2 linked regions of the Lytechinus pictus genome follow. The protein of the gene in region 2 interacts with the protein of the main gene of each other region in a pairwise test. Links are inferred from orthologs where the notes say so. Each region holds a gene or a part of one and is shown on either strand. Other genes may lie near its edges. The genes, in order: rho GTPase-activating protein 8-like and DNA primase large subunit-like.

What was found.
Region 1: the proteins of DNA primase large subunit-like (region 2) and rho GTPase-activating protein 8-like interact in a two-hybrid assay, tested with the Drosophila melanogaster proteins (2 studies listed by BioGRID). The link is inferred for Lytechinus pictus from reciprocal best matches to the Drosophila melanogaster genes Prim2 and RhoGAP68F.

Annotation. Positions count from the first base shown.
Region 1 is NC_087263.1:10,185,645-10,189,244, forward strand, and holds the start of rho GTPase-activating protein 8-like, read right to left. Parts: upstream 2,608-3,600; 5' UTR 2,583-2,607; coding exon 2,384-2,582; intron 1-2,383. UniProt on the Drosophila melanogaster protein: Functions as a GTPase-activating protein (GAP) for RhoA/Rho1 during gastrulation by converting it to an inactive GDP-bound state.
Region 2 is NC_087261.1:23,515,891-23,519,490, reverse strand, and holds the start of DNA primase large subunit-like, read right to left. Parts: upstream 2,507-3,600; 5' UTR 2,360-2,506; coding exon 2,206-2,359; intron 989-2,205; coding exon 879-988; intron 24-878; coding exon 1-23. UniProt on the Drosophila melanogaster protein: Regulatory subunit of the DNA primase complex and component of the DNA polymerase alpha complex (also known as the alpha DNA polymerase-primase complex) which play an essential role in the initiation of DNA synthesis.

The sequences.
Region 1 (3,600 bases), on a different chromosome or scaffold from region 2:
AGACAATGTGACCGGATATCGCTATCGATACTTTCGCACGCAGTCCGAAGGAATTATTTTGGCGACCACGTAGATGTAGTCATGACGTGATCTGCGCGATTGGCCAATCAGCGGTCTCCGATTCGCTGAGCCGAGACGGTCTATTCCTTGTACACAGTCTATGGACAATTTGCCACTGTGAAATACACAGTGTTGACGGGGGCGATTATGAGTTTTGCAGTCGCCCTCGTGTGAATGTTTTTAGCCCTTTTCCGAGGCTCTTTTTGGACTTTCCGGGGCGAATTCGCCCGCCGCCCCCGTGTAATTTTTTGGTTGTTCAACATACATGACATAGGACACAATCTCCCATATTTGGAGACTTGCTTTGCAAGAGTATAAAAGAAACAATACCAACAACCAAGAAGATATTTTTTTGTCTCACTGAGTCTGAGGTCAGGAGCCCATTTGTTTTGTGTAATGGATGACAACAAAAATCCTTGGCTTAAGAAAACAAAAGTAGACAGTAAATTTTTAAAGTAGATGAAAAGGGGTAATTTTTCATGAGGAACTCTGCTCATCGCATTTCCACTTTCAGTGTTCACTTCTTTTTTTTACTTTAGCGGAAAAAAAAATGAGTGGAACATGTCATGACTCATGTGATGTGTAAAGATACTGTCTTTTTTACTGACTGTCACCAGCACAAATCAAAGTGCCACTGGCGCTAATGCAGCATGCAGTTTGTACCAGCCGACTTCAAGCAAATTTCTCCACGCCGAAATTGTTCACAATACAATTTTGGGACATTTGGTTTTCAAGAGTAGGATGGGGGGTCGGGTGTCCGGACACTTTATATTTTTGAAGCCTTCTTTTTTGTCTTAAGATTACACTAAAAATATGAATTCAATAGTTGTAATCATCTTCTATTTTGTTCTCTATAATATTTTCTAACATTTTGTACTAAAAATTGATGAAACTTCGCTTGTAATTTTTTCCAAATGACTTTCTAAAATTGATCGTCCGGACACACAACAACTGCATTATTTTATATAAAAAACCAACCAACTTGCCAGTGCGAAACTGCATTAACGCACTCACTGGTGTCTCTCAGAGTCATATCATGATATTTGATAATTCCTAAAGGCAAGGCTCCACATTAACTTTTTTTGGTGGTGGCCCGTTCGGGCCACCAAAATCTCCAAATAATTTTTTTTGGTGGCCCGATATTAAAGTTTGGTGGCCCGAAAAATATAAAGAAAAACAAAAAATGAATAAATGGGTATAAATGGTTAAACCACTGTAAAAAAAAATGAAAGAAAATAATAAAACGGCAAAAAAAAGTGTGAGAAAATTCCTTCCCTAAATTTGCCAAAATGTTGGAAAAATTCACATTTCATATTATGAAATGCCTTCCCAAAGTATTGACTTTCTCAAGAGTTGTTTAAGAAATCATTTATAAACAAGAAAGAAAGTAACTGTCTGTTTATTTTTGGCAAGAAAAGACCGGAAAAGACACAGCTTCGAAAGAAACCAAGTAACACTAACAACATACATACAAATGCACATGTGGGACTGTGATGTACTCGCCTATGTGTTTTTATGTGTATTATTTTCATTTGGAAATCGGTCTTTTTGAGTCAAAAGAGAGGTCATGATTCCTCTTTTTAATGCTTGCAAATAATCAGGATACACCAGATTTTAGCAAAAAGGTCTGTAGAAGGGCATTTCATTGGTGTAAAATGTGACTTTGACTTGGATTTTCACAGTTTTGTGGAAGATTTCTTAGCAGCAACATTTCGTATTGCAGCTCCCTGAGTCTGAATAGGCTGCTAACGCACAGCTGCTTCAAGCATGCAAAGCTCACGCCAGCCGGCCGGCACAGCCGGCTGGATAAAAGCTACTTAATGCTATAGCGGTAGGCCAACTTTGTGTGTAGATCAACAAAAAGGGCACATGACGAACTGGCTTGCAATTTGAATTGTAGAAAGTTGATAAATGCGTGCAAAATGGGGAGAAAAATTGCGCTATTCTGAAAATTATTGGTTGCCCGATTCGGGCCACCAAAACTTAATAATATTTTTTCATTAATGGTTGCCCGAGGTGAATTTCTGGTGGCCCCGGGCCACCGCTAATGTCGAGCCTTGCTAAAAATAAAGGAATCCTATTTTCCAACAAGATCTGTCCTAACGGTGTCCTATATTTTGATACAATTCAACAGCAAAAAACAAAAACACACACGGTGCAGTACAGCACCCGTGGCCGTGACAGGGCAGGGTGCCAGCTGCTGCTGGCTGCGACGGAATAGAAGGGGATCCCGCTCCCGCAGCCTCAGGCTGAGGAACCGGCGGAGGAACCCGACATGATTGGTCACTGTCATTCATAATTGATTGAAGTGAACTCAACTCACTCAACACTTGGGCATCGCTCAAAGGATCGCCTCCAAATTCCTCTTCTGTATCTAATGTGGCCTCCATGTCTGCACCATCACCATCCTCGAATGATTTTCCAGCATTGTCATCTTCTTTGTTTATGTCTCTGACGTTGGATTTATCCCCACTTCCATTTTCCTCATCTACTGCTGATTTCGCCGTCACAATGTCCGCCATGTTGATTGTTGGACGCACGCAAAATTTCCGCTCGCAATTTCTCAGCTCACGTTACGCACCCTTTTTCCTTAATTTAATATTAATAATTAACATTTTCCCCTGGGATATTTTCTCATTTTTTCATGGAATAAAAATATAAATATTCATTAAGTTTAAATCCAGACCAATTATGGACAGACACAAATCGATATATCTTGACAGAGCCGCAATGGGAAATCCCAGAAAACAATGTTTTGTCTCTCGAATATTCTCTTACTTCCTCATATTTCAATGCCTTTGGACTTATCATTCGATTTCATACGGGATTTCATCTCTCCCCAACCACCCAAAAAGACATCTGTGATGTTTACCATTTCTCCGGTATCGCTTTTTATCAATTTCTCTTCTTTAAATCTGTCTCAACATTCTCCCTTGCATCTTTTTTGTAACATCCAATCTTTCCCTCTTAAATCGCTTTTTTATATACCACGCCCCTCTTTCTTAGTAATCTCTATAAACTTACTCATTCTCTTCATAAAATCCCCTTTTCAACCTTAATTTCTCTTCTGTCTGCAACACTCCTCTCTTCTGATTACTCAACCATACATGTACGTACTTCCCTTACCTGGTGTTTCTCTTTTCCATTTTTTGTTTGAGCTTTGATTACTATTATTATCAATAAAAAATTATGTGTGATTAATGTTCTTTTCTTGCTTTAATTATGTTCCATGATGGACTCGAACACACAGCTGCACAATTGTAAAAGTGCAATATGAACCTACTTGAATTATTCAAGAAAATAATTAGAGAACTTTCAATAAGAGGACAGTAAATAATTGACTTGGACATAGCAAGCTCTGTTGTGGAAAATATCCATGGTGACTGAAGCATGCCAAGATTAACTTTTATTTTAATCTACCTCTTATTTGTCTTCTTTTGTGTATTTTAAAGTTCACCATCATTGAAGAAGTGATGCCTGTGTGTCTATGATAAAGTTTGTTTTTCATTTATCAATACACACTGTACAAGCATGGGCTTA
Region 2 (3,600 bases):
GCTGCCAAGTCTTCCCCACTCATCTGTCATGGTAGAATATAAAAAAAGAAGTTACAATGGAAAATATTTATTTATTAAACATTGATGCAATATTTGTTTGGTTGTTTGTGGCTTGGGTTCCAGAGCATAACTGTGAGAAAGTTGTTGCATCATCAACAGTCAGCAGCAACATGTTAGCATCATGATTGCGGTCACCATAGGCCTATAGTCTCTTTCCTGCATCATCATCACACCCACCCTACCATCGTAAACCCTTGACTGCTATCATCGCCTTCCCCATCTTCATAATCCCTTATTGCTATCATCATCATCATCATCATCATCATCATCATCATCATCACCATCATCATCATCATCACTGTCACCATCATCATCATCATCATCGTCACCATCATCATTATCACCACTATCGTCATTATCATTTTCATCCTTATCATCATCAGTCATCATCATCATCTTTATCATCTCCATCATCACTGTCAGAATCCTCATTATTATCATTATAAATCATCATCACCATCATCATCCCTATCATAATCATAGTAAAAATATCATTATGACTCAGTTTATGCATCACAGTATCCCCCCTCTCCACCCCCTCATCCTCTTCATCTCCATACTCATCAATTCATCATCATCATCATCATCATCCCTATCATAATCATAGTTAAAATATCATTATGACTCAGTTCATGCATTACAGGATCCCCCCTTCTCTCTCTGTGAATGCTATCCAAACCCTCCCCATCATCTCCGTCATCATCATCATCATCATCACCATCAGCACCATCATCATCATTGAAATATTACTAGATTCATGAAAATCAGGCCTCTCTCTCTCTCTGGAACTATTAAACAGTTGTGAATATTTACAATACCTTCTTGTGGGCAATGGGCATCAATTTTTTTAGTTCTTTGTCCATTCTTTCGTTATACTCCTCACTTCCTTTGACATGCCGGATACCAACAGACTCAACATGCTTCAGAACTAAAAAAACAAAATTAAAGGGAAATCACTCAACAATAATAATTATTTTTTTTTACTTTTCTTATGTTATAGTGAGATCTAGACCTGACTTGTTAATATAACTATTTTGTGAAAAATAAGTTGAACTTTAAAATACCTTTCTTATTATTTTTCATCTGATTTTGATGAAATTTTCAGCATTTTTTTAAATGCTTGTTGGAGTTTCCTCTAGATTTAAATCAATATTTTTCTTGTGTGGACTAGACCTTTAACATTTGGGCTAAACAGTTAACGTTAGGCAGTTGTGAGAATAGTACATTCACCCCCCCCCCAAAAAAAAAAAAATTGACCTGGAGTCTGGACCCTAACACATTCGATTTTAACTTCCTTCATATCATGTTCTTGCACTCTTCGTCCCGGGGGGGGGGGGGGGGGGGGTTACTCAGCATGCCATTGTTTGTATGTACATGTATGTGCCACGCTCGACCCTTTTTTTCAGCCTAAATTTCTGCTCCAGAGCATCATCAATTCAGGCAGCCATTGAGACACCCATGGGTGCATTACTGCTGCTGTGTACAGGAAAATTGAAGGCATGCAAAATTTCAACAAACTCCCGCGAATTTCAGAAGAGGATTTATAAAATCAAGTCCTACGAAACTTACCGAACGATGTGAAGTCAATTCCCCCTAATATGATATAGCCTATCCCTCAATCATTTAAGCGTTGATTTTTCTTCTCGTTGACAAAATACGGAGTTTGCTTCTATTTCCCAAATTTTTTGTCTAATTAGCTAAAGAGGGCGTGCGATTTATCTTCATATCAAAGACACTACAAGTACAAATAGTACAACTTGTACAAGTAGAGGGAAAGACTAGGCACAAAAACTATTTTACACGTAAATCGATGCAAAGCGTTACGCGAAGTCGGCAAAGTGTCCAGTCTTTTTACTGTAAAGACTTTGGTGAAACATTATGATTTATTGACAAACGAAGGGTAGCTCTTGCGGGCTTCATTCAAATTTCAAGGTCCGTAGAATTTTCTCTTTTTTTTGTTTAATTTGTCATCGCTTTCAATATTTTCCAAAAAGTATTAATTATCGTCAGCAAAAATAATATAAAAAGTAGGCCCCTATGTTTTTTAAGTTATTGCATTTATTGGTGTCTCTATTTTATCAAACAATCATGGGAATTGCGCGTACATTGCGCTTGAAAACTGCAAGCAAGAAATCGCCGACTTACCTGCCAATCTTCGTTTAGCAAGATCCTCAAATTCACTGAGGGAAATGTTCTCAATTGGTGGAATCCGATAAAACAGCAAATGGGGTTCTTTGGTTTTGTCAATGAACGACTCCTTCTTGATCCTCTTCTTCGTGGTGTTCTCTGAGAATTCCATGTTAATGATAAATCTGGATGAAATACCTCTCTGTCTTCAGAAGAAATATTAAAAGTGGTCCGCGCCACACGCAGTGAATTCGAATCAATCGAAAAAGATTGTAATGTTGTGCCGAAAGTTTCCCGTACTAAATTTCCCGCGTTTGCCAAAATCAACCGCGAGAGGGTGTTCTCCACTTCCGCAAACACAAATCCAAGATGGCAGCGCCCATGAGCCTCAAGATATGTGCGAGATGGATTTTAAAATCAGGGAACATTTCAAGATTTCAAGCATTGCGTGCACCATTTTTAGAATTTAGATACTTCTCATCGATTCCGTCCTGTAAATCATTGGTTTACGATAAATACGGAGATCCAGTAAAAGTGTTAAAGTGAGTTCACCTGATATTTTGTCCCCTAGCGTTAAGCCCAGTCCCACACATTGTAATCTAAGTTAGAGTGTCTACGTGGGAAATATAGGCCCGTATTCTGAAGCCTTCTTCTTCTTCTGAAACAGTACAGTCCACCGCCTGGTGTATTGTCGTACTTAAGTTATGTTTAAACGCACCCATGGGTGTATATTACTGCCGTCGTGTACAGGTAAATTGAAGGCACAGCGCATGCAAAATTGCAACAAACTCCCGCGAATTTCACAAGAGCTCGACAGAGTAGAGGAGACCGTCGATTTATAAAATAAAGTCATACGAGAAGAAACTTACTGAACGATTAGACCAAAAGCTTCAGTCTCTGTATTTTGGTTGTTCCGCTGAACTAGTTTACGTTGGCTCCACTCACCATACATAGACTGAAGGGGATGGGGCCCCGTACCTACAGCCAACGTATAGTGAACTAGCGTTTTATAGATCGCGATTTAAAACTGTTTTTTAAGCAAAATTGAAAGTTTCATGGTTTCCATTATCAGGGAAATATAAATAACTTAAGTAATTGCATACCTTGGGCTAACCCAGAGAGCTCCAGCCCGCGTAGCGGGCTGGAGCCCAGACGCGCAGTGTACAAACGGGCATTCAGGTGAGAGTACCGTGAAGTTTGGTCAATATCATTTACATAATACATAATTTAAACAGAAATTAAGCACTTACCACGATTGTATGGATGATAGTCTAACGAGTGGCAGTTTCCTGACATCGAGGCACAGACTGGAACCTCAAAAAACGATCAGTTCTGTCGCGGTGGCTCTCCTTCTTTCAAAATTCATAGCAAAATGGCCGTTCGAGAGGGTGTAGGGCGCATGCGCGAATTTGA